Linked DNA regions of Bombyx mori. The protein of the gene in region 1 purifies or fractionates together with the protein of each later gene. This does not show direct contact. Links are inferred from orthologs where the notes say so. Each region holds a gene or a part of one and is shown on either strand. Other genes may lie near its edges. The genes, in order: serine/arginine-rich splicing factor 1A and U2 small nuclear ribonucleoprotein auxiliary factor 2.

The links.
Region 2: the proteins of serine/arginine-rich splicing factor 1A (region 1) and U2 small nuclear ribonucleoprotein auxiliary factor 2 purify together in Homo sapiens (affinity purification with mass spectrometry; 4 studies listed by BioGRID and IntAct, counting the BioPlex papers as one, with this or other methods). This does not show direct contact. The link is inferred for Bombyx mori from reciprocal best matches to the Homo sapiens genes SRSF1 and U2AF2.

What each region holds. Positions count from the first base shown.
Region 1 is NC_085122.1:426,729-435,619, reverse strand, and holds the start of serine/arginine-rich splicing factor 1A, read left to right. Parts: upstream 1-2,919; 5' UTR 2,920-3,138; coding exon 3,139-3,317; intron 3,318-4,060; coding exon 4,061-4,424; intron 4,425-5,318; coding exon 5,319-5,395; intron 5,396-6,079; coding exon 6,080-6,188; 3' UTR 6,189-6,198; intron 6,199-7,371; 3' UTR 7,372-8,891. UniProt on the Homo sapiens protein: Plays a role in preventing exon skipping, ensuring the accuracy of splicing and regulating alternative splicing.
Region 2 is NC_085123.1:10,727,896-10,738,193, forward strand, and holds U2 small nuclear ribonucleoprotein auxiliary factor 2, read left to right. Parts: upstream 1-1,075; 5' UTR 1,076-1,200; coding exon 1,201-1,216; intron 1,217-1,290; coding exon 1,291-1,863; intron 1,864-2,139; coding exon 2,140-2,222; intron 2,223-3,296; coding exon 3,297-3,419; intron 3,420-3,529; coding exon 3,530-3,617; intron 3,618-3,704; coding exon 3,705-3,858; intron 3,859-4,699; coding exon 4,700-4,784; intron 4,785-5,524; coding exon 5,525-5,656; 3' UTR 5,657-6,371; exon of another isoform or gene 6,372-6,373; intron 6,374-7,325; 3' UTR 7,326-7,417; intron 7,418-8,399; exon of another isoform or gene 8,400-8,405; 3' UTR 8,406-8,550; downstream 8,551-10,298. UniProt on the Homo sapiens protein: Plays a role in pre-mRNA splicing and 3'-end processing. By recruiting PRPF19 and the PRP19C/Prp19 complex/NTC/Nineteen complex to the RNA polymerase II C-terminal domain (CTD), and thereby pre-mRNA, may couple transcription to splicing.

The DNA.
Region 1 (8,891 bases):
GTGTAAGTTTTCACCTTAGTATAATTTCTATAGAAACGGGAATGTTGAATCAATACAAGCATCTGTTGTATTATCGCGAAACTTGAAATATTCTATAACCCGCCTTTCGTAGTACGTGAAACATCGTTCTTTAAAAAAATCTTTAAAACCGATATTATATTAAATAAACATTGACAATGCTTAAATATTCCTACTTAAATAATACTGAAAATACTCACTTTTGCTTCGATAAATGAACAAATTCTCACGTTAAGATTTTGATAACCGGAGATTCGATGCCTACTTTCCAGAGGATTCTTTCACAGGCTTCTTTCAACAAAATTGCACTCGACATGCGCGAGAGGGCGTTCTAAATTCAATTCAAATTTTCGAAAACTAAACTCTATGGTCAAACAGCGTATTTGGTTTATTAGTGGCCTGATCTACAAGGAATGATAATAATTTTCCCTAAAAACAATAATTAAATTACTGGCTAATTAAAACAGTGAAAAATACTGCCTACAATGCTCGTGTTTAAACTTGAATATTTTATTCTTTAGTACAGTTACAAGAAGATCTTCAACAAAACGAGGTTTTTGTCAAGGATACTACTACTAATTTAGAAAATCGAATGTTCGAATAGTAGTGTAATATATACCATCGTAAAATCTAGAGCCAGCACGTTAGGACAGTGGTTCCAGGGAGCAACCTAAAACGGTTTACTAATATCTGCTATGGCAAGAGCAGTGCTTCGCTGAATCATGAGGAATTGTTTATGCAGTGAAATGAAATGAAGTTGATCTATTTGAGACTGAACTCGATATAGATTTTAAACGAAATGAGATGAACTGGGATGAAATAATAGCTCCGTGAAATGGTACTTATTTACTCAAACCACAGTGAGCTTTCTTATATTACCTTTGTAAAAGCCAGGTTCAGCAGCTTTTTTTTTTAATTTTCTCTTACATATGCACTTGGACAGATGCTAAATGGTTAATAAGCCACCACTATTACACGATTAAACCTGAAGAAACACTAAATTACAAAACAAAATAGTTCCTGCCAAAAAGAGTGTCGAAATTTACAAACGCTTTTCATTGGTCTCATCGTATATAAATAGCTTTTAAGGCTTCGTTTCTATTGCCTTTCCAATGAATAAAATAAACTAGTATAAGTTGTTCGCATTTGCTTGTGTATATTGGTAAGCCGGCAGATTTCGGACGCGTGCTTGGACTTCCTCTACATGACTCCATATTAAGTATTCTTATCAATGCTAAGTATTCTTATTAATGCTAAGTATCCTCAACATTAAGCTTTTTTGTGATTGAAGGATTACTGGTGGCCCTGAGGCCTTTCTAGTGTGGCGGGTAGCCATCATACAACGCAAGATAATTGACAGATGCCTGAATCTCGCTTACGACATTTTCAAAATAAAGCGCATATATAAAAGTTCCAAACAACAACATTAGGACCGTCGGTCTACCGAGCAAATATCACCCGCTCGGTGGAAGATCTCCCCTTTGTCGTATATCTCTACAAACTGGTGACCTGCGACGAAACCATTGCAGCCTTCACACTTCATCATCAGCGCATCAAGAACTTCGGCTACCACAATTCTCGCAGATAAAAGCAAGTCATCGACAGTAGTCCCACAGCAAGCCAGCATCGCAGCCTCGATAGGACCATCGCAGCTGACTCACCGCGCTTCCTGCTCCTACGGCACGCACCTACACTGCCTCATCACGCAGCATTCAAGCTCAGTCTCGACTCACCGCAGACTACGAGCAGCACTAGCGACAATCACGCAGCAATTCAAGCTCAGCCTCGACTCACCGCAGGCTTCGAGCAGCACTGGCCCTTGCAAGCTAATCTCAGCATGGACAACGCTAACTAAAAATGACACGACCTCCAGTCTCGGAGGGGAGTGATGTGGCGGGTAGCCATCATACAACGCAAGATAATTGACAGATGTCTGAATCTCGCTTACGACATTTTCAAGTTAAAGCGCATATATACAAGTTCCGAACAACAGCATTCGGACCGTCGGTCTACCGAGCAATATCACCAGCTCGATGGAAGATCTTCCCTCGGTCGTTAAGCTTCCCCTACACTAATTTCACCAGGACAGTTAGGTGAGCAAAAGCGCAGCCAGGAGGGGTGGGATTACTTAACAGCTGCCCGAGCGCCTCCGAAGGAGACTTATCAACTCAAGAGTAGCTGCTTTGACAGCTGATCCGACGAGAAACTCAGCGGGCTGATACATAGATTAGGTTGCACGTCGAACTCTTTGTCGAGTTCTATGAGTACGGTTACCGGGGTCCCTGAGCCTGCTACTAGTGTTAGAGCTGAAGGCTTCTAATGCAAAGGTTATTGGATCTGATGGATCCGTAAGGACGTGTCTAGGGCATCAACGGTGACTGGCTCCTGCATGATTAGAATTCGAGGAGTAATCAACGGTGGCACCAATAAGGCGATTATCATGACGCATAGCCTTATTGTATTATTTATTTTATTTTATTTTATTTAATCCATTCAAGAAGATGACACCTTAAGCACAAGTTCAAGTACAAGTTCTCTAGTAAGTTCCTACCTGATTTTATATGGGAAAACCCATACTTTAATGTTACTAACATAACTCGAAACTGCCAATATTGATCAGCCTATATATTAATTTCCATTTAACAAAAGTGAAGGGCAGCGGGCTCGAAATTAGAAAGACCTATAAAACACGCTATAGGTACTGATTTCGACACAGAAACTTCCGGACAAGCAGGAAAGAATGATAAGTGTCCTGATCCTGATATCACCAAAAGCAAACTACATTTCAGATTAATTATTCAATTTTATGGTGTTTAGTTTTAAAATGTGCCGGACGACTACATACACATCTTTGTATAAATCCTTTCACACGGACTTTTGTAAAAATTATACAGCCACATATTTATAATCTATGACCAGGTTTTTCCACTTCCGTTTTCATGATTATCGTTTTCTTTTCTGTCAAATCCACCGTGATCCAAAATCGGAACATTGACATTTGACGCCATATTGCCCGACTTTCAATTACACACAGTAAAGCGTCGGATTGGTGAAATTAGTCGATGAAGCCAACATAATAATAAGTAAACGTTTAAGCAATAGTAATATTCTTTAGCTATAATGTCGGGTGGAAGCAGTAGCAACAGAAATGAGTGTCGTATATATGTTGGAAACTTACCACCGGACATAAGGACAAAGGATATTCAAGACTTGTTTTACAAGTTCGGAAAAGTAACGTTCGTTGACCTAAAGAACAGAAAAGGTCCGCCATTCGCGTTCGTGGAATTTGAGGATCCCAGGTGAGTGTTGAATTCGAAAAGAGAAACGGGCTATCTATATTACTAACGTTGTCCATGTCTGAGTAGCGATAATCATCCCGTGTCAGGTGGACGGAATGTTCAGCTGCCTTTGAAGAAGATTTAAAAGAGCGCATACGTTATGCCGCATACACCGCTATCTGTACCCGACTATAGCGAAATGAACAATTTTATTCAGCGTTAATATAATTTTCCACACCACAGATACAGATACAGATTAAGTAAACATTTTTACTGATAAATGAAAATGGGACTTTAAATTAACAATTAATCATTTATTATTTTATGATTAATTGACAACTAATTAGTTTAAAAGTTGGCACATATTAAAATATATGAAGGGTGGCACAGATTTAATAGTCTGCCAGAGCACCTGTATCCATAAATCTAATAATATTCACCTATGATTTCTAATTATTTCAGAAAAATTAAAATCAATAAAATTTGCTGATTATTGCCAATTATATAAAATTATAACACACATATAAACACACAACATATTAAATTAAAATTACACAATGAGTGATGTCAAAACTGTGTGTGATTGGTTCTTTTATTAGATATGTCCACTTCATGGTGAGTTGTTACTGTCACTAATGAACGTCAAGAATACCAGGTGCACAGCTCAGAGCCTGCCTTGTTTCACTCCTAGTAGAATATACAGTCATATCTACCTAAATTAATCTGAGACAAGTTATTTTAATAAAATCTATTTTGGAATTCAGAGATGCAGATGATGCAGTAAGAGCCAGGGATGGTTACGACTATGATGGGTACCGTCTTCGAGTCGAGTTCCCTCGTGGAGGTGGAGGTGGAGGCTCTCGTGGTTCTCGAGGCGGTGGTGACCGTTGGGGTGGACGAGGGGCAGCACGTGGTCCGCCCGCTCGACGCTCTGAATACCGCGTGCTCGTTACCGGCTTACCGCCCTCGGGTTCCTGGCAGGACCTCAAAGACCATATGCGAGAGGCCGGCGACGTATGCTTTGCAGACACCTTTAAAGATGGATCTGGTGTTGTGGAATTTTTGAGGCATGAAGATATGAAGTATGCTGTTAAAAAGTTAGATGATTCTAGATTTAGGAGTCATGAGGTTAGTTTCTTCCACTTTATTTGAAAATAATTATAAACATAACCTGTAATGTGAAAGAACAGTACTGTTGGTGGATTGTCCCAAATTTTTTATCATTGTTACCCAACGTGGACATAAAAGTTTCAAGATAATCAATTGTGTCAAATACTTTTATAGTTTAATTTGAATTAGTTAGAAGTTTAAGGCTCATGAAGGAGAAATTAAACCATGGGATAGTGCTTAAACTGTTCATTTACAAATAGCTGCTCAAAATCAACAACTGTTATTTTGTGTCAAACTCAGTAGATATCTATAATGTCCAAAATTGCATTCTGTAAAACTCAAGTAAATAAAGTAAGCAAAACAAACTTTTGAATTCTTTAGCTAGGTTGGACTAAGCTGTCTCCTTTTTCTGATTATTTGCAATACCAGTTTTTTTTTTTTTTTTTTTCAATGTTTTTTTCTGCCCATACTTGTTACCAATTTGTTTACTGAATTATAAAAAATGAGATTGTCCTTTCAACATACAGTTAAATATTTTTTTTAAAAAACAATTCACTTGTCAATTATGGTAAAGTAATTTCAGTTTGAGAAAAACTGATATGAGATTGAAAAGAACAAATGGAATGTAAAATGAGATGTGAGGCAACAAAACATCATCTCAGCTTAAGTAAACTGAGTTTGCTTTCATATTGATATTACAAAAGAAATTTGAACCATGGATCAAATTTGAACCATACTTTCTTAATCTTGATATTACAGACCTTATGGTCATAGATGATGAAGATTATAAAATGAATGAAAAGAAAGCTATATTACACTGTAAAAGCGTTTTACAATCAACTCAAGAAATTTAAAAAGCAAGCAGTGTCATGTAGTGCAAGATTTAGACGTCTATTAAATATTCATTTCCAGGGTGAGGTGACATATATACGTGTGAAGGAAGACTATGGCGGTGGCGGCGGTGGCGGTGGTGGCGGCGGCGGTGACAGGTACCACTACATACCATTACTACATTAACTGACTACTATATCATTTAATTGGCCAAATATATTGATTAAACTAGCTGACCCGGCAGACTTCGTAGTGCCTCAATCGATAAATAAAAGACCTAACTATTGTATAAAATAAACTTAAAACAAACAAAAGGAATCCGTCCAACGGGGGACACATCAAAGGAAAAACAAAATTTTATTTTACCTTTTAAACGTCTGGACTTCCACAAATAATTCAAGACCAAAATTAGCCAAATCGGTCCAACCGTTCTCGAGTTTTAGCGAGACTAACAAACAGCAATTCATTTTTATATATATCGATTTTGTTATCTCAGCCCACCTTTGGACATTAACAATTGTGTTGGATAACTTAGTACTATTAAAACTGTCTTTGCTAAGAAGATGTTAATTACTTCTAAGGCAGGGGTGGGCAAATACTTTAAAGCGCGGGCCAAAATGAAATTTTCAAAATGTCTCCCGGGCCGGAGGACTATACCGCATATGCTTTTTTACCGCATATGCTTTTTTAATGCTGATGTCAGCAAAATCTCATAAAAGAGTTTAAAAAAATTTATGTGCGGAATTTTTCAACGGGCCGGATAAAATTAGCAAAAGGGCCGGATCCGGCCCGCGGGCCGGCTTTTGCCCACCCCTGTTCTAAGGTGATATATTCTTCACAAGGTCTCGGTCATACTCCCCGCGGCGTCGTGGCACCCCAACCTACTCCCCGGTGCGACGCTCCTACTCGCGCTCGCGCTCACGCTCCCGTTCGCGGTCACATAACTACTGACTCCCACAAGGTACTGTACTCTTATGAGATTATATCTAATTAAACATTGCTGTTCACATTTGGTAGGTTCTCTATAATGTTCATACATTGTTAGAAACATGGATTATTTATCAGTGGATAAAACTACCATTCTATTAATAAAAACTTAATGGACTTGGATAAATTTAGTCTTATAGATAACTAGCGAAAGTAGGAATCATAATCTGGTCAGCATGGCCGTGCAGGGATACCCTAAGGATACAGATTTTCATAAAATGTAAACATTATAAAGATGAACATTAAGCACAATTAACATTTGATTACAATTAATGCACACCATATGTTTACCGACATTGTTGGTTTGTCAAAATCAATCGGTAAGTACAAATGTTTTCTATAATTTAGAGACATTGAAATTGAACATTTACCTAATAATTAAGTAGTTTTTTAAATCTACTGGACAGCAAATGTGAACTAAGCAACTGACTTTAATGATTATCAGAACTTCATTTTAAATAATAAGTGGTTCTATCATCTAATGATGTCATCAAGTTGAAATGATTGTTTTTATATTGTAGCTGTGTTCATAAAAACATACTGAATTTAAAAAAAAACGACATATTTTCACAGCCTATGACAGACAAGATCCCACTATAACAGATTTTAAAAATAATCCACTATGCCAATTACTCTAGGAACCCAAAATGGGAAATGGCGATATATACACAAAAGGAATCTCAAAACATAACTTTTATGCTAAAACTAAAATAAAAAACTAAAAAAAAAACAGAAAATAAATTTAGATCTAACAATTTTGTTGAGTTCTCTAGTACTAATTTCACTTCTAATGTAATTTTATCTACTAACGTCACACTATCTATTATGTGCGAATTCTCCAGACCGTTTCAGTGCATCAAAAGTAGTATAACTACGACAAACTGTTCAAGACAATAATGTACTGTTATAAATAAAAGATAGATAATGATATTAAAAATAGATTTTGTTGTGTATTAGTGAGGGTACTTTTCTCTTTAAAAGGATTGCTAAGTGCGGGTTGTATAAAGACAGACACACAGTGAACTGACTTGTTACCCAACATATGTGCATAATAAATTACTGGTGTTCATAATAAAATAATAAAACATAATAAATTTAAAATTTAAAAAAATGAAGAAGATGAACAATTCTGTGTGTTTGTGTGCAGCCGTAGAGGTCAGTGACACGCGCCGAGAGGTCATCGCCCCCGGTGCCGCCGCGACTCCCAGCTGTTTGTAGTTCATAAGCCCTCCCACTTGTATACAAACAAACATTCACGTTCAAATGCAAAAATTACATGTTAGCTCTCACTGTATCTTTGGAGACTGTTTTGAGATGAATTTCGTCGGTACTGCTTTTCATACTGTAATGTCCTACAAATTGTGCAATGATTATTAAATTGGGAATTGATAACTAACTGTAGGGTATGAGCTAATATTACGCGAGTTCACTTGTACAGTGAGGCTACAAACCTTAGGACCATGTTTTTGTTCAAACAAGACTTGAGACATAATATTTTTTAATTTATTTATGAAAATGTAAAGTATAATAGATTCAGATGCATAGGGATGAAATGAATTTTAAGTAATGAAAATGTAATACTCATGCTAAATTGGATATGGACAAAATTAAAGGGATACTTCAATTTTCCAAAGTTGTAAGCAATTTTATATTTGACCAACAGTTAGTTGTGTATTTGTATCGTCTTTAATTCACACAAAGGTGTTTGTTCTGTTTAAATCCAAAAACCTCCAATTTTTTGTTTTGTTAGACAATTTTGAATCTTTATTTATAATTTGCTTTTGTTTTTTTAAAATCTCAAAACAAGTTTTATCCAAAGCATTCTCTAAATTCTACTAATTGGATGATGAGTTAACAATACAATTTTTTTATAAAAAATGTGTCAATAATCAGAATATTGACATTGACGATTTTGAAACTTCACAGTAGAAACTCATGACTTGTTTAAAAATATATTTCACAAAGACTATTGTTTAGGAATTTTTGCTTTTGAACGTGCCTTTCAATACTTTGTTTCGTTGACTGTTTTAATTTTAAAAATTTATTTTATGAATTGGTGATGGTCTCAAAATTGTAATGTATTAGATATTAGAGCAAACACCCGCGAGTTTGCGACTGAACCACTCTGATGGAAACCATTATACATTTTCAATATAATCTTTCACGATTCCATCCATATATTAATATCTCTTTTAAATATTTCATTGTAAAGGTGATTTTTTATTAAAATTGTAAAATAAAAAAAAATAGTCCACGAGGCACAGCGTTGTTGACACTGACACCGTAGTAATGTATAATAAGACAGAAGGTTTGACATGTATAATTAAAGTAATTTTCTTTTGTTTCATCGACTTTGGATCGTTGGATGTGCTTGGATGGGATCGTTGGAGGTGTGAGTCAGGATCGGAACACGGATGTTAGTGTCGCGGGCTGTAGGACACGACCGGGGGCCTGTGTGTCGCACTGGACGGATCAGGACCGCTGGACGCGCCGGGTATGACGTTATGATTCCTTGCCAAAATAAGTTATGTTGAGTGCACGCGAACGTACCGACCTACATGATGTTTGAATCCTTCACTCACTTTATTTGCTTTCACCTCGACGCCCCGTCGGCGGCGGCGGACCCTCTGACACACGCTTCTGTGCTGCGGACGTGAGAGAGTTGGA
Region 2 (10,298 bases), on another chromosome or scaffold:
AAATAGGATTGTAGCCCTCCGAGGGACTGAATAGATTTCAATTTACTATTATCAAACAAAAATTCCTCAATGAGTGGCGCGTTGGCAACAGGATACTTTGTTAGAGACCACGGAAATTAAACTTTGACGTCTTATTTCTATACATACGGCCCTTTTTTCCGTATACAATTTAAAACGCTTTTTACGGGTAACTTGTACGACGGAGACGATTTGTCAAAGTTTTCAGTAATTATGTTACAAAGATTATTAGTTTAAATCTGTTGTGTTTTTGTCAAAATTTCCGTATTGACGAGATCAATTTGTTTACAACAATTTTCGTTACATTCAATTGTTACACACAGTTGATGCATTATTAGATTTACAACGTCACTGACCTGGTGGGATAACGAGCCGATTCGAAGATCGACCGTTACCTTTGAATCCCGTCGTTTCTTACGCAGAGACTCCTTTTGTTCTTTTTCGCTTGACGAGCTGTTCGAACGCGAGGCGTCTCCATCGCGTCTCGCCTGGACATCTTCCCTCTCGGAAATTATGGAGCTTGACTCAACATCACCTCCAACAGATGACGCGTGATTCATGGCGTCCGATGATAGGATTGGTAAATAATACTCGTAATGATTGCAAAATAACACTCATAGAAACACAAAATAAATATTTTTTGCAATTAATAAGAAGTCGAATAAATATTTGTGGACTTGCGACTTCACAGTACGAAAGTACACAACGCTATGAAGATCAAAGATGGCTGCGCTCCCTTTATACTTGCTGGCAGCACCTAGCGGCTAAAGATGGAACTAAATTGACTGTCTATGGTTGGACATAGACAAGGAATCTAAGCTAAGTACACACTGCTTCTTCATAATACAATGCTGTATGTTTTCCAAAGGCACATCAATGATTAATTAGCTATCATTATTACACATTTATACTTGAGGAAACACCAGTTCTGCGTTCGCGTCCGAAATTTGTCCTAGGGCAAGCATAGGATTTTAGTGATGATTACGTATCAGGAAATTCACTATAGCATCATTAGCCAAAAGTCGAGTAACCAACGTCCGTATAAAAAAATAACAGACGCCATTTCACGGAAACTGACTTAGATTTTATGTTGATGCCAACGCTAATTATACTAATAACGCTGAAGCGCCTTTATTACTATCTCAAGAAATAGTTACTGTATTACATATTTCCGTAAATAAGATGGGGGAAGATAAAGGTAAGTAGTTCACATATCTATCTTGTAAAGTTTTGAAGTGAGGTTATAAAATAAAATGCTCACAAATATTACAGACCGCCGACGAAGGTCTCGATCCCGAGAAAGAAAACGTTCTAGATCTCGATCTAGAGAACGAAGAGAAAAAAGAAAAAGCAGATCAAGATCGCCCAATAAACGTTCACGTAGACGTAAGCCTTCGCTTTACTGGGATGTACCGCCGCCGGGATTCGAGCATATCACGCCATTACAATACAAGGCGATGCAAGCGGCGGGTCAGATTCCTGCCAATATTGTCGCCGACACACCACAAGCTGCCGTGCCGGTGGTGGGTTCGACTATAACACGTCAAGCGCGAAGGTTATATGTCGGCAACATACCCTTTGGCGTCACCGAAGAAGAAACAATGGAGTTTTTCAATCAACAAATGCATCTATCGGGCCTGGCCCAGGCCGCCGGCAACCCTGTTTTGGCTTGCCAGATTAATTTAGATAAAAATTTTGCATTCCTTGAATTCAGATCAATTGATGAAACGACACAGGCAATGGCTTTTGACGGTATTAATTTTAAAGGGCAAAGCTTAAAGATTCGACGTCCACATGACTACCAGCCTATGCCAGGCACTGAAAACCCAGCAATAAATGTGCCTGGTAAGTAATTATGATATTGTGATATTGTTATTACAAACAACTTTTCTTATAAAAATACATTTAAACTACATTAGAAGATACTATAGATTTATCTATCAAGTAATGAGTCTTGAACTCGATTGAAAGTGCTATTTTTTATTAAGAAAATGCAATATTTAAAATAAACTGAATTTTGTTGTTATAATTCTACAGCTCTTTTTAAACTCTTGAAACAGCATTAATTACAACTAAAATACTCATTACTAGTGTCTTCATTCAAATATTATTTTGTTACAGCTGGTGTTATTAGCACTGTTGTACCTGATTCCCCACACAAGATCTTTATAGGGGGATTGCCTAATTATCTAAATGAGGACCAAGTAAGTTCCTTGTTTTATCTATTAAAATTTATAGTTGAAATTAAGCATTCAAGAAACCATAATTTAATCACATCATGATCAAAATCAAGTTTGGAGTTTTTTAAAGCTACACATGGTTTTTGGATTAAAGTAGAGGTACTTATTTTCTGTATTTTTGATGTGATCAAATTAAGCTATTATTTATAAGTACTACTTACCAAAAAGTTTTTATTTTTAAACCAAATGAAAACTCAATTCACATAAATTATGGTTGATTTATGTTTCCCACTAAAAGAAACCTTTTGATAATAAAAAAATGGTTATATTATACAACATTCTTCTCTCATTGTGATTTGTAGAGTTGTGTGTTACAGGTTTTGACCAGACAAAATGGAAATAATAATTATGTTGGTTATGATAAACATAGAATTCTCTTAGATCGACAAATTCAAGTATTTTGGACTATAATAGTTATTTCAAAATCCTACTTTAGGTAATGTTAGGACATTAAAAGAACCATGAGTTTGTTCGTTCCCAGTAGGTAGTTATAGCGTACTAGATGCCGCAACAATTTCAGGCCGAGATTCAACAGTTGACAGGACTTAGGCCCCGGTGACGCCAGCAGTGAGCCGCGTTATGTTTTGGTCCGTTTCAGGTATTTTCAGGTACCCGTAGCGTGGACGAGCGTGTGCGTACCACGCTCGGATGTTCTCAAACAACTCACTGATATAGTTTGCTTTCTGCCCTCCCTAGCTTAGATTTGGCACATTCGCGGCCCGCGTGTCACTGTTGTCTCTCATTCTCATCTATACGTCTTGTACTTGAACGAGACATCGGCACTTCAAGGCAAGTCTCTTCCATTCACATCTGATTCTAACATGCGGCTAGACACAGGTCAGATAGCATAATTCACTTATGTAATTTGCTGCATTTTGATGAACAGATTTAATGGGAACACAACAATTCAAACATACAATACAAAAAACATTAGCATTAGAAATGTCTATGCTGATCATTATGAATATGTAACGTAAATTAATACAATGCTGGGAATTAAAAGATTATTATTTGCTCACTAATTTTGTCATGAAACAGGTAAAGGAATTACTCATGTCATTTGGTCAACTCCGGGCCTTCAATTTGGTGAAAGACTCTTCAACTGGGTTGAGCAAAGGCTATGCTTTTGCTGAATATGTCGACATTTCTATGACAGATCAGGTAAATAATCATTATGTCACCCAATTTATTAATTTATTGGCTTTTGCATAGTTAAGGCCAATTTAATTTTTAAAAAAACTTTAAATCATAAATTAATTTTATTTTCACAGGCTATTGCAGGTTTAAATGGAATGCAACTTGGAGATAAAAAGTTGATTGTGCAACGTGCCAGTATAGGCGCAAAGAATTCAACTTTAGGTAAATTTTAATACAGAATATGACCTATGTTTTAGTTTTAGAATAGAAATTATAAAAGATTTTAAATAGAAATGGGATACTTTTCAGCACTGACCGGTGCAGCTCCAGTGCAAATCCAAGTGGCAGGTTTGACCTTGGCTGGAGCAGGTCCACCTACTGAAGTATTGTGCCTTCTTAACATGGTAACACCTGATGAATTGCGTGATGAAGAGGAGTATGAAGATATCCTTGAAGATATAAAGTAAGTAACATTTTGTACATGTCACACACACAAGCACTAATACATGAAATGCACACTTAAACTTCATCTAAAAATGTTCAAAATCAGAACAAGAATATAAAATTAAATCTTCATATTGGTACCTCAGTTCCAATAAGTAAAGTAACAATTCAGATTTCATATTAGTTTTAGCAGTGTATAAAGCATTTCGTTTTTCATAACACATTATTCTTCATAATGTAATAAAAATAAATAAATAAAATAGAAATAAGAATAACTTCCTGATAAACTATTCACATTTATTTAAGCTTTTTTTTAATTGTTACTGCATGGAACATAAGTACAAGTCATATAAATGAAACAACAAAAATGATTTCTTTCATAGACTTCTTTCTTTTTGAAAATTATAGTTTACAATTTTAATGGAACTCTTTTTTATACTCAATCAATTTTTTTTTAATAAAAAAAACCTTTACCTGTGTACCTTAACAAAAATTCGCGAAGAAATAACATTGAGTAATAAAATCAAACCTGCAAAAATCCCAATTTGTGTGATTACCTGCCTAGGTAGGTCCCACAATACTGTCCATTTCTGCCGTGAAGTAGTAATGCGTTTCGACTTAAAGAATAGGGCAGCCATTGTACTGTAAAAACTGAGACTTAAAACTCATGTCTCAATGGGTGTGGCGGCGTTAACGTTGTTGTTGTCTATGGGCTCCGGTATCCACCTAACGTCAGGTGGGCCGTGGGCTCGTCCACCCATCAAATCAATAACAAAAAAAGAATTAGTAATGTAATTATTACTGTACATTCCTAGCTATAAAAAATGAATATGAGACTCACTAAAAATATGGTATTTCAGGGAGGAATGCAACAAATATGGTGTTGTGCGTAGTATAGAAATTCCAAGACCAATTGAAGGAGTCGAAGTACCTGGATGCGGCAAGGTAAATATTTATATTTAAAATTAATGGTTTGGAAATCATAATTGAGTATGTCTTACTGCTTCTATGTACTTTTAGGTCAAAATAAATTAGTTGTACAAATTGATATAACAAGCTCATCAAAATATTCTCATATTTTTAAACTGAGATAAATAATAAAAATAAAATTATACGAAATAATCGAGTCTATAAATGTAGCTATAAGAAATAATATGAGATGATTTCTACAAAACTCAAATATCATATTATCATAAACATGCCACACTTTAAATTTCTGTCGTGAAGTTTTCATTTAGGAATTAGTAGGAAAGTCGTTAAGTACATACACTAAACAATTGAATGTTATAGATACCTCATATCTCAAGGTAGGTGGTGACATTCACATTGTAATAAACCAACATAAGAGAGGTCCATATATACGACTATGGAATTTATTACTGGTGGTAGGACCTGTTGTGAGTCCGCACGGGTAGGTACCACCACCCCGCCTATTTCTGCCGTGAAGCAGTAATGCGTTTCGGTTTGAAGGGTGGGGCAGCCGTCGTAACTATACTGAGACCTCACAACTTATATCTCAAGGTGGGTGGCGCAATTATTTTGTAGATGTCTATGGGCTCCAGTAACCACTTAACACCAGGTGGGCTGTGAGCTCGTCCAACCATCAAAGCAATAAATAAATAAAAAGACTGGAATAAACGAATAAAATCCACATTTTTTTTGTTAAAAAACGTTTTTTTTATCAGGTATTTGTCGAGTTCAACAGTATTGCAGATTGCCAGAAAGCGCAGCAGACGCTCACAGGACGCAAGTTCAGTAACAGAGTCGTCGTCACATCCTACTTCGATCCTGACAAATATCATCGCAGAGAGTTTTAAAGATATATTTTTTTTACCGTCACTTCAACTTCGTCCTGTTGCACTAGCGTGTAAGAAAATGTTCAACATTGTTTTTGAAAGAAGTTTAATTTTCATTAGTTTACATTAAAAACATATAAGAACAAATTAAATTTAAAAATAAATGCTTGTAACGATTCATTGTAAAAGTGAGTTCTTAACTACCAAATGAACAGATTTAATTGTGATCTACTCAATTACGACTGATAATTAATTTTACAAGTTCTATAAATTGAAAATGTCACGTTTTGTTGAAAATAAAAGTTTTTTTTTTTTCACAAGACCTATACATGACACATGCTAGTAGCACATTCAACAAACGACAGAGATTAAATCTATCAAAATGCATGTGAATTGGAGCATCATGCTTTTCGTCACCAATTCACTACAACTGACATGTTAAGTATTAACTAAAAAGTATATTGCGCGTTTGTAACTGCTATGAATAAATAAATTTATCTCGAATCATGTGTTTTTATTAAAAAGTTTCAAATTCGAATCGTTTTAACGTAGGTACATTATAAAAAAAAAAACTGTAGTTTTATACTTCTTGCTGCATAGCAGGTTGGTAAGTATTCAGTGAACCCGTTTCCGAAGATAGAACGAGTTTCCTCATAACTACATATAAGACGCCACCGATGATCAACATTCCAATTCCAGCCATCAAGCTAATTGCCCACGCGGGAACCGCATTGCCACCTGTAATAAAATAAAATGAATTTTGAGCACGCAAGTTGATTGATTATTTTAATCAACCTACACAACACGCGATCTCTATAAAAATAAAATAAATTAAAATATAAGAAATTTGTGAATTTATTTTCATGTTAGCGCCCTATAGTTTGATACGAAGTCAAGACGAAAATGTTTTGTGACTACTACTGACCAATCGAAATTAATATGTGAATGGCAAATGTTATCATCTCATACATTTTGACCTAGAAATGACTAGCAGATGAGAAAGGATGTTCTATAGTGGATCGCAAGATGAACTTACTTGATATAAGTTGACCCATGTTTTGAATAAAACGCATAGTATGTTTTGTTGGTTTCTTTGTATAGCAAAAAGAAGCCATCTAGTTAACTTTTCGCTAGTCGTGTTCCTTATTTGCTCAAGACACTGACAAAGTGAAAAGCGCCTGGTGCTTTGCACTTTTTGAGTTCATCAAACGCAGCTCACACTTCGGTCTTCGGAGCGCAAACTCCCCGGGTATTCAAAACAGCATTTGTATTTGTATTTTTCGCAATAGCTACGCTATCTTTCAGCGACCTCTATAACTGATTAGGTGTATACCATCGGCATCATCGATTGCCCAGTTTTTTGGCTTGATAATTACTGAAGATAAGACTTTCTATTCGTCTCGATAGGCACGAGCTAACCGGATCACCTCCTCAGATCAGTTACTGAGTGGTGACTTGATATTGCCTTAAGATATGAGGTTGAAATTTATTGTAGAACGACTGTTCCGTCAAAACCGGACTGATATAATTGCCTCTCGGAAATAATAGCTAGGTACCTCATAACTAGGTAGGTACCTTAGTAGCACTTACCGTGCAGGTTCGCAGAAACGTCCTACTATCAGAAGATACGGTAACTTACGGAATTTAACGAATTTATCTGATTTCCGGCAAGGATATTGAAGATAAACTTACGGTAGTAAGTGCGGGTCATAACACGTCTTCCTCTAAGAATTTTTCTTCTGGCTTCTACCTCTTGTGTAAGTGTACTCAAAATAACTAAAAATAATAAAAAATAATTTATTATTGCACATATTGGCAAGGCAAACATACCCTTTTGTTAAATTCTTAACTTTTGTTTTTTTCCGCTAAAACTATTAATAATAAAATTCGCCAATACACTCGCGACCAAAATGCCCCGGTCATCATTCTCATCGAACCCGTCGCTTGCGACGAAGGGCTCGGCGAGTAAATTAACCCACTGAGTTTCTCGCCGGATCTTCTTAGTGGGTCGCGTTTCCGATCTAGTGGTAGATTCTGCGAAGCACAGCTCTTGCTAGGGTTTGTATTAGCAACATCGTCCGGTTCGAGCCCCGTGAGCTCACCTACTAGTTCAGGCTACGCTGATATGGTCTCTCTAAACCATCAGCTTAGGTAGGAGAAAAAAATAGAAAACCAAAATGGTCACCTACAAGTTTCCGTTTTTCTTGAATCATCTAGGTACCTACTTAATTTCAAGTGTGTGATGTTCACGATTAGCCGTTATTTGTAAAGTACCCCGTACCTTTAATGTCATTCATTCAGACTGACGATTAAATTAAAATCAATGCGCTTTATCAGACTGATAGTCATAACCCCCAACAAACTAAAGGTTGGTACATTTCTTCTTCCCAAACATATCTATCTATCTATGTGTGTCTATACGTAAATTATCAAACTACTTAAGTACATTACCTTCATAAGTCTTGATTTTAGTACCTACCTTTTTCCTTATCTATTAAGTAGGTTACTGGCAGTATAAACAACACAGTACCTACTTGATACGTGTATATTATAGTGATGCAAAAGTAACATTTGCTATTACTCTTTTAAGTCACCTGGCGTCAAAGCTAAGATATTTAATTGGGTGTTGAGTACACATATAACATTAGGGAAAGAGCTCCTTTCAAACTCTTAAAAGTTAAAAAATACAATGCAGTAATGTTCCCTCCGCAACACATTTCACTTTAGGTCCTTAACTACAACAAATTTTACTCTAGATACGTACCTAAAATCACAGCGAAGTAAAACAAAACAGATTTCTTCTGTGCCATTTTATTGATTTTTTTTCTTTCACAAATACTCAATAGAGAAACACAATCACTAACAACACCTATGATAAACTAATACAGAAAAACATGTACATTTTTAGCGTTGAGCTATTATCTCTTTAGATAAGATAACTTGGTTACTCACATTTGTGAGATAAAACGAAGCTTTCTGAAATCCTGTGTGACTCAATTATTCTGTATATTCATTGATAGAATACTACAGTGATAAAATAAATATAATAAAACCTTTAAAATGATCGTATTTGATACATGAATCCAAAAAACTTTTACTTGTCCATACTGTTAGATTTAGACCTAGGTATACTTACTAAAATAGCAAAGAAAATCAAAAGTGAACAATACGTAAAGAATTCGTCATAGCCGCCCGATTAACTTATTCGTATCAAACGATACCACCATACCGGTGTTCAAATCCCACAGGCAAATGTTAATTTATCTAAGGAAATACATAGCACGTGTTCAAGAACGACTACAACGATGAAGGAATAATATTGTGCAATAAAAAACAACCCAACAAAAAATTCAGTTTGCGTAGCAACTGGTAGTAAGGTGTCTCGTGTCCCGTTCGGGTAGGTTCCACCGCCCTACTTATTTTTACCGAAGCAGTAATGCGTTCGGGTTTGAAAGGTAGGTCTAGTCTATAGTCGGTATGCCGTCATATAACTTATAATTGAGACTTCTTCTTTATATTACAGGATGGATTCATTTGATTGATATCTATGGGTGTCGAGAACTAATTATCACTAGTTGAGCCGTGAACTCATTTTCCCATCTATAAAAATAAACTGATAAAGAAACAAATAACAAGTGCCTCTTTACTGAGCCCCTTACGTTAGTACAAATTGAACAAGGCTAATAAGAGATCGCTCGACAGATCACAATTATTATGACTAAATAAACTTAAATCTGACTTCATTAAATCGATGGTCTCTATATCGAGTTCTCCGAATACTTTTGTTTAAATGGGTAGACAGGACGCGCCTTTTTGGTTGCGTATTTTTTTTACCCATGTATGCAGATGAACACGCAGTCCACCAGATAGATATTCTGATGGTGAAACAGTCAAGCCGCTGCTTACCACTAAAACGAATTAGAATATATAGATGGATCATCCGCTACATGTTGGGGCTGTGGTATGGTTGAACCTATTAAATAATCCTTGTGTCGCTTTTCTACCTGAGCATCCGATTCATATACAGAGATACAATTGTGATAGCTCACGTAAATTGCTTAACCGCACCACGGAACGCCAGATCAACAGTCGCCGGTGATATGATCAGCAACTCTCACAATAAACTGCCCAGCTCTGCCTCTAGGCAATCTAGTTAATGGCGCCATAACTCATACCCTCGGGTTGCCCAGGTGTGTATCGGTAGTGTATGCCGGGTCGAGGAGCGTAGCTTTCATCCGATCGCTCTTTGTCAAAATGTCAATGTGGCCAACGGTTACCTTTGTGTTCATAGACCCTATTGTCGTTCTACAAACCAACATCAAAGAGGCCCGAAATGCTTACGGTGACTGGAGCCAAAATACATTAAAGTATATCTAGTAATACAGTTGATAATTTGTGAGATGGCGGCGACATCAAGCCTTTCAGTACCGGTTACATATTTATAATAGCCGGCAAACTTCTTGAGTATTTGTTGACGTAGTGGGGGTAAGTTTGCGCATGGTACACTCACGTGCAAAAACATTATTTACTCTGCGTCATAATGCAATTAAATTATTAAAATCAACATATGTATTTATTTATATATTTATTAGAACATCAACAAAAAATATAGGTTAATAATTGTAATAATTTAATCTTGGGGTAAAATAGATATTCCTTCTAT